Linked DNA regions of Pelodiscus sinensis. The main gene of each other region encodes a partner of the protein of the gene in region 2 in a complex. Links are inferred from orthologs where the notes say so. Each region holds a gene or a part of one and is shown on either strand. Other genes may lie near its edges.

Region 1 (3,895 bases), on a different chromosome or scaffold from region 2:
GGAACTGGTAATTTACCAGGCAGGGGAGGGCAGTGGGGGAGCAGGGAGAGGAAAGGGGGGTGGGGTACACGCAGGGCTGAGGTCCAGGACTCCATCGAAGAGGAGCTGGGGGGCCCATGGCATGTGGGGGCTGCCACATGTGGGGTGGAGGCCGGAGCTGTATCTGGCGGGTGTGCCTGGGGCAGTCTGTCTCTAGGGGGGCCTGCCTGGGGAGCAGGTGCAGGGGGGCATTTGGGGGTCCTGAGGGGTGCAGGCTCTCACAGGGTGACTGGGTGGGCTGGAGCACTTGAGTGTTGGGGGGCAGGTCTCTGGGAGCCTTGGGGATGCTGGGATGTACCCCAGTCAGGCAGGGAACTCGGGAGAGGCTGGGCTGGGGGGTTCATCTTGGAGGGTGCTAGAAGCCAGGCGGCGCAGCCAGGGTGCAGGGCTCACCTAGGCCAGGCAGGGAGGGGGGTGGCAGGGTGGGGGGCTGGAGAGAGATGGCAGACCAGACGGTGTGGGGATACCAGGCTGGAGCAGGTGGGGGATGGTGGAGCAGGGCAGACCGGACGGGGTGCGGGGATGGCAGGCGGACTGGACTGGGCAGAGCCATACCGTACCTGGCAGAGGGATGCCAGGCCAGGCGTGGGAGGGATACTGGACCGGAGGGGGGGGAGTGGTTACCGGACTTGGGGAGGGATACCAGGGCAAGGGATGCTGGGGCAGATACTGGACTGGGGGAGGGGCAGATGGGGGGGTACTGGACCCGGGGAGGGGGGTGATGCTGGGGAGATGGGGTACCGGACTGGGGAAGGGGCAGGGAGCGTACCAGACTGGGAAAGGGGAGGAGGAATGCCGGGGCAGACAAGGAGGGGGGGTACCGGTCTGGAGGAGGGGCGGGAAGGGATGCCAGGGCAAACGGAGGGGGTGGTACTGGGCGGGGGGGGGGATGCCGGGGTGGGGTACCGGGCAGGGGGGATGCCGGGAGGGGGTGTACCAGACTGGAAGAAGGGGTACTGGGCAGGGGGGATGCCAGGCAGGGGGGGATGCTGGGGCGGGGGGGTACCGGACTGGAGGGAGGGGTACTGGGCGGGGCGGATGCTGGGGAGCGGGGTACCAGGCAGGGCGGCCAGGGGCTGCCGGGGTGGGGGGGGTACCAGGTGGAGGGCACCGGGGGGGGGGGGTATCTGGCAGGGGGTTCTGGGGCGGTGGGGGGTACCACCCGGGACGGGCGAGGAGGGGCACCGGGCGGGGGGATGCCGGGGAGGACGGGGGGGGCACCAAGCAGGAGATGCCGGGGCGGGCACGGGGGGGGGTACCGATTGGGGGGCACCAGGCGGGTGGGGTACCAGGAGGGGGGGCACCGGCTGAGGGATTATCAGGCGGGGGAATGCCGGGGCGGGGGGGGGTCACGATGCCGGGGTGGGGGGGAGGTACCAGGCCGGGGCGGGTACCAGGCGGGGGTGTGCCGGGGTGGGTACCAGGCGGGGGGGGGGGGGGCGGGCGGGGGGCGATGCCGGGGCAGGAGGGGTTATCAGGCAGGGGGGGCACCGGCTGGGGGGGTAGCAGGCGGGAGGGGCGATGCCGGGGCGGGAGGGGGGGGATGAAGCCGGAGGGGTACTAGGCGGGGGGGGCGATGCTGGGGCGAGGGGCTGATGCCGGGGGAGGGGTTACTAGGCGGGGGGGGCGATGCGGGGGGGGGGAGTTCGGGTGGGGCGATGCCGGGCCGGGGGGCGATGCTGGGGGGTACTAGGTGGGAGGGGCGATGCCGGAGGGGTACCAGGTGGGAGGGGCGATGCCGGAGGGGGGGTACCAGGCGGGGGGGGCCATGCCGGGGGGGTACCAGGTGGGGGGGGCCATGCCGGGACAGGGGGGCACCAGGTGGGGGGGGCGATGCTGGGGCGGGGGGGTGATGCCGGGGTGGGGGGGTACCAGGCGGGGGGCCGGGCGGGGGGGCACTAGGCGGGGGGGTACCAGGCGGGGGGGCGATGCCGGGGCGGGGGGGCCGGGCGGGGGAGCACTAGGCGGGGGGGGCGATGCCGGGGCAGGGGGCACCAGGCGGGGGGGGCGATGCTGGGGCGGGGGGGTACCAGGCGGGGGGGGGCGATGCTGGGGCGGGGGGGGTACCAGGCGGGGGGCTGATGCCGGGGCGGGGGGGGGCCCAGCAGGGGGGCACTAGGCGGGGGGGGGTGATGCCGGGGCGGGGGGGGGGGCCGGGCGGGGGGGCACTAGGCGGGGGGGGCGATGCCCGGGCGGGGGGGTACTAGGCGGGGGGGCGATGCCGGGGCGGAGGGGGGCCGGGTGGGGGGGCGCGATGCCGGGGCGGGGGGGGGCCGGGCGGGGGGGCACTAGGCGGGGGGGAGCGATGCTGGGGCGGGGGGGCACCAGGCGGGGGGGCGATGTCGGGGCGGGGGGGGCCGCGCGGGGGGGCACTAGGCGGGGGGGGCGATGCCGGGGCGGGGGGGGCCGGGCGGGGGGGGTACCAGGCGGGGGGGCGATGCCGGGGCGGGGGGGGCCGGGCGGGGGGCACCGGGCGGGGGGGCCGGGCGGGGGGGCACCAGGCGGGGGGGCGATGCCGGGGCGGGGGGGCACTAGGCGGGGGGGGGCGATGCCGGGGCGGGGGGGTACCAGGCGGGGGGGCGATGCCGGGGCGGGGGGGCACTAGGCGGGGGGGGCGATGCCGGGGCGGGGGGGCACCAGGCGGGGGGGCGATGCCGGGGCGGGGGGGGCACTAGGCGGGGGGGGGCGATGCCGGGGCGGGGGGGGCCGGGCGGGGGGGCACCAGGCGGGGGGGCGATGCCGGGGCGGGGGGGGCCGGGCGGGGGGGCACTAGGCGGGGGGGGCGATGCCGGGGCGGGGGGGTACCAGGCGGGGGGGCGATGCCGGGCGGGGGGGGGGCGATGCCGGGGCGGGGGGCACCAGGCGGGGGGGCGATGCCGGGGCGGGGGGCACCGGGCGGGGGGGCGATGCCGGGGCGGGGGGGGCCCCAGGCGGGGGGCCGGGCGGGCGCTCACCCAGCAGCAGCAGCTTGACCTCCCGCGCCGCCTTCTCGCCGTCCTCGCGCAGGTTCTTGTCGATCATCTTGGAGCGCTCGGCCGCCGCCTTGTCCTCGGCGCTCACGGTGCAGCCCATGGCGGGGCCGCTCAGCTCTGCTCCGCCGCCCGCCCGCGCCCGCCCCGCGCCGAGCCCTGCCGGGGCGGGGCCGAGCCGGGGGCGGGGCCAGGGGCGGGGCGGGGCCGTCTGGGCGCTTCTGGTGGGCGGGGCGGGGCGGGGCAAAGTGACTCCATGTAGGGGGTTGGGGTGCAGCGAGCGGGGGTCTCTCTGTGGGGGGTTGGGGTGCAGCGAGCGGGGGGTTCTCTGTGGGGGGTTGGGGTGCAGCGAGCGGGGGGTTCTCTGTGGGGGGTTGGGGTGCAGCGAGCGGGGGGTTCTCTGTGGGGGGTTGGGGTGCAGCAGGGGGCTCTCTGTGGGGGGTTGGGGTGCAGCGAGCGGGGGTCTCTCTCTGGGGGGTTGGGGTGCAGCGAGCGGGGGGTTCTCTGTGGGGGGTTGGGGTGCAGCAGGGGGCTCTCTGTGGGGGGTTGGGGTGCAGCGAGCGGGGGTCTCTGTAGGGGGTTGGGGTGCAGCGAGCGGGGGTCTCTGTAGGGGGTTGGGGTGCAGCGAGCGGGGGTCTCTCTGTGGGGGGTTGGGGTGCAGCAGGGGTCTCTCTGTGGGGGGTTGGGGTGCAGCAGGGGTCTCTGTGGGGGGTTGGGGTGCAGCGAGCGGGGGGTTCTCTGTGGGGAGTTGGGGTGCAGCAGGGGGCTCTCTGTGGGGGGTTGGGGTGCAGCGAGCGGGGAGGCCGGGTTGCACTTACAATGTCCTCAGTCCCCAGCCATAGACTGTCAGGACTGGTTTAACACACGTGGGGTTTCTTAGTTGCCTT
Region 2 (3,895 bases):
GCAGGGCTGGGGGCAGGGTCTGGGGGGTGGGAGTGAGGGGCACCGGCAGGGCTGGGGGCAGGGTCTGCGGGGCGGGAGTGAGGGGCACCGGCAGGGCTGGGGGCAGGGGCTGGGGGGCGGGAGTGAGGGGCACCTGCAGGGCTGGGGGCAGGGTCTGGGGGGCGGGAGTGAGGGGCACCGGCAGGGCTGGGGGCAGGGGCTGGGGGGCGGGAGTGAGGGGCACCGGCAGGGCTGGGGGCAGGGGCTGGGGGGCGGGAGTGAGAGGCACCGGCAGGGCTGGGGGGCAGGGTCTGGGGGGCGGGAGTGAGGGGCACCGGCAGGGCTGGGGGCAGGGTCTGGGGGGCGGGAGTGAGGGGCACCGACAGGGCTGGGGGGCAGGGTCTGGGGGGCGGGAGTGAGGGGCACCGGCAGGGCTGGGGGCAGGGTCTGGGGGGCGGGAGTGAGGGGCACCGACAGGGCTGGGGGGCAGGGTCTGGGGGGCGGGAGTGAGGGGCACCGGCAGGGCTGGGGGGCAGGGTATGGGGGGCGGGAGTGAGGGGCACCGGCAGGGCTGGGGGCAGGGTCTGGGGGGCGGGAGTGAGGGGCACCCGCAGGGCTGGGGGCAGGGGCTGGGGGGCGGGAGTGAGGGGCACCGGCAGGGCTGGGGGGCAGGGTCTGGGGGGCGGGAGTGAGGGGCACCCGCAGGGCTGGGGGGCAGGGTCTGGGGGGCGGGGGTGAGGGGCACCGGCAGGGCTGGGAGGCAGAGCCTGGGGGGCGGGGGTGAGGGGCACCCGCAGGGCTGGGGGGCAGAGTCTGGGGGGCGGGGGTGAGGGGCACCGGCAGGGCTGGGGGGCAGGGTCTGCGGGGCGGGGGTGAGGGGCACCGGCAGGGCTGGGGGGCAGAGTCTGTTGGGGGGGGTGAGGGGCACCCGCAGGGCTGGGGGCAGAGTCTGGGGGGCGGGGGTGAGGGGCACCCGCAGGGCTGGGGGGCAGAGTCTGGGGGGCGGGGGTGAGGGGCACCCGCAGGGCTGGGGGGCAGGGTCTGCGGGGCGGGGGTGAGGGGCACCGGCAGGGCTGGGGGGCAGAGTCTGGGGGGCGGGGGTGAGGGGCACCCGCAGGGCTGGGGGGCAGGGTCTGCGGGGCGGGGGTGAGGGGCACCGGCAGGGCTGGGGGGCGGGGTCTGCGGGGCGGGGGTGAGGGGCACCGGCAGGGCTGGGGGGCAGAGTCTGGGGGGCGGGGGTGAGGGGCACCCGCAGGGCTGGGGGCAGAGTCTGGGGGGCGGGGGTGAGGGGCACCCGCAGGGCTGGGGGGCAGAGTCTGGGGGGCGGGGGTGAGGGGCACCCGCAGGGCTGGGGGCAGAGTCTGGGGGGCGGGGGTGAGGGGCACCCGCAGGGCTGGGGGGCAGAGTCTGGGGGGCGGGGGTGAGGGGCACCCGCAGGGCTGGGGGGCAGGGTCTGCGGGGCGGGGGTGAGGGGCACCGGCAGGGCTGGGGGGCAGGGTCTGCGGGGCGGGGGTGAGGGGCACCGGCAGGGCTGGGGGGCAGGGTCTGGGGGGCGGGGGTGAGGGTCGGGAGCGGTAATACCCCAACCCCCCCCCTGTGCATTTCTCAGGCAGCTCCTGGCCCAGCGTCCAAGGGTGCCCGCCCCAGACCTGGGGGGCGGGGCACAGGGCCTCTGGGATGCGACCCCCGGCCAGGCACCCCCCGGCGTAGGCGAGCGCCGAGTCCCCAGCGCTGGGCAGTATGGGGCACATGGCACATGGGCCGGGGCGGGACAGGCTGTGAGCCGAGCAAGGGGGCAGCTGCGGGCTCGGCCTGGGGGCGCCCGGTACCGGCCGCAGCGGGGGCTCTGGAATTACCCCCCCGCTCCCAACGCGGGACCCGGGAGCCTGGCCCCGGGCCGGGCCGGTCCCTTCGGGCCGGATGGCGGCGCGGCGCGGCCGGGTCTCACCTGGGGGGCCCGGGGCCCCGGGCGGGCCCCGCAGCGGGTCACAGACGCTCCGGTTCCAGGCGGACGCGTTGCCGGGCCCCCCCGCGCACAGCAGCCGCTGCAGCGTCTCGTTCGCGCGCCGCGGGTCCAGGGCTCCGGCCGCGCCCATCGCCGGCGCCTCGGGGCGGCTCCCCGGGCGGCCCCGAGGTCCCCGCTCCGGAGGAGCCTCCCTGGGAACCTCCGCTCGGCTCCAGCGCCGGCACCGACTGAGCCGGACCGGCCCCGCCGCGGATCCGCGAGCGAACAGCGCCCCCTGCCCGGCCCGACGCGGCGCTGGGAGCGGGGGATGCGGGTCGAGAGCGCGGGGCGCCGGCCCAGCTGGGGAGACGAACACGGCGCCTTCCCAGGGCGCTGGCCCGACACCCCCAGGCTGAAGGCGGCCTGGGGTCACAGGCCAAGGGATCAGCACTCTGGGAGGGGCACCCGCCGTGGCCAGGCACAGAACCCAGGCGTCCGGCGGTGGCCAGGCACAGAACCCAGGTGTCCGGCGGTGGCCAGGCACAGAACCCAGGCGTCCGGGCGTCCGGCGGTGGCCAGGCACAGAACCCAGGTGTCCGGCTGTGGCCAGGCACAGAACCCAGGCGTCTGGGCGTCCAGCGGTGGCCAGGCACAGAACCCAGGCGTCCGGGCGCCCGACCTTGGCCAGGCACAGAACCCAGGCGTCCGGGCGCCCGGCCGTGGCCAGGCACAGAACCCAGGCGTCTGGGCGTCCGGCTGTGGCCAGGCACAGAACCCAGGCGTCCGGGCGCCCGGGGGTGGCCAGGCACAGAACCCAGGCGTCCGGGCTCCCGACCTTGGCCAGGAACAGAACCCAAGCGTCCGGGGGTCCGGCGGTGGCCAGGCACAGAACCCAGGCGTCCGGGCATCCGGCCGTGGCCAGGCACAGAACCCAGGCGTCCGGGCGTCCGGCGGTGGCCAGGAACAGAACCCAGGCGTCCGGGCTCCCGACCTTGGCCAGGAACAGAACCCAAGCGTCCGGGGGTCCGGCGGTGGCCAGGCACAGAACCCAGGCGTCCGGGGGTCCGGCGGTGGCCAGACACAGAACCCAGGCGTCCGGGTATCCGGCGGTGGCCAGGCACAGAACCCAGGCGTCCGGGCGTCCGGCGGTGGCCAGGCAGAGAACCCAGGCGTCCGGGCATCTGTCCGTGGCCAGGCACAGAACCCAGGCGTCCGGGCGTCCGGGCATCCGGCCGTGGCCAGGCACAGAACCCAGGCGTCTGGGCGCCCGGCTGTGGCCAGGCACAGAACCCAAGCGTCCGGCCATGGCCAGGCACAGAACCCAGGCGTCCGGGCGTCCGGCTGTGGCCAGACACAGAACCCAGGCGTCCGGGCGTCCGGCTGTGGCCAGGCACAGAACCCAGGCGTCTGGGCGTCCGGCGGTGGCCAGACACAGAACCCAGGCGTCCGGGCGTCCGGCTGTGGCCAGGCACAGAACCCAGGCGTCCGGGCGTCCGGCTGTGGCCAGGCACAGAACCCAGGCGTCCGGGCGTCCGGCTGTGGCCAGGCACAGAACCCAAGCGTCCGGCGGTGGCCAGGCACAGAACCCAAGCGTCCGGCCGTGGCGAGGCACAGAACCCAGGCGTCCGGGTGTCCGGCGGTGGCCAGGCACAGAACCCAGGCGTCCGGGTGTCCGGCTGTGGCCAGACACTGAACCCAGGCGTCCGGGCGTCCGGCTGTGGCCAGGCACAGAACCCAGGCGTCCGGGCGTCCGGCTGTGGCCAGGCACAGAACCCAGGCGTCCGGGCGTCCGGCGGTGGCCAGGCACAGAACCCAGGCGTCCGGGCGTCCGGCTGTGGCCAGGCACAGAACCCAAGCGTCCGGCGGTGGCCAGGCACAGAACCCAAGCGTCCGGCCGTGGCCAGGCACAGAACCCAGGCGTCCGGGTGTCCGGCGGTGGCCAGGCACAGAACCCAGGCGTCCAGGTGTCCG

Evidence for each region.
Region 1: the proteins of CCKBR (region 2) and GNAI2 are in contact, whole or in part, in a cryo-EM structure (PDB 7F8V), measured with the Homo sapiens proteins. The link is inferred for Pelodiscus sinensis from reciprocal best matches to the Homo sapiens genes CCKBR and GNAI2. Residues at the interface, in NP_795344.1 of Homo sapiens: Thr87, Thr89, Arg152, Ala155, Ile156, Pro159, Leu160, Ala162, Arg163, Val164, Thr167, Ser169, Ile241, Gly248, Leu249, Lys328, Val331, Leu335, His394, Arg396; in NP_002061.1 of Homo sapiens: Glu28, Ala31, Arg32, Glu33, Val34, Lys193, Leu195, Thr220, Phe337, Thr341, Asp342, Ile344, Ile345, Asn348, Leu349, Lys350, Asp351, Cys352, Gly353, Leu354, Phe355.

Annotation. Positions count from the first base shown.
Region 1 is NC_134721.1:45,351,144-45,355,038, reverse strand, and holds the start of GNAI2 (guanine nucleotide-binding protein G(i) subunit alpha-2), read right to left. Parts: upstream 3,173-3,895; 5' UTR 3,112-3,172; coding exon 2,994-3,111; intron 1-2,993. UniProt on the Homo sapiens protein: Guanine nucleotide-binding proteins (G proteins) are involved as modulators or transducers in various transmembrane signaling systems.
Region 2 is NW_027466003.1:150,174-154,068, forward strand, and holds the start of CCKBR (gastrin/cholecystokinin type B receptor), read right to left. Parts: upstream 2,219-3,895; 5' UTR 2,076-2,218; coding exon 1,928-2,075; intron 1-1,927. UniProt on the Homo sapiens protein: Receptor for gastrin and cholecystokinin. The CCK-B receptors occur throughout the central nervous system where they modulate anxiety, analgesia, arousal, and neuroleptic activity.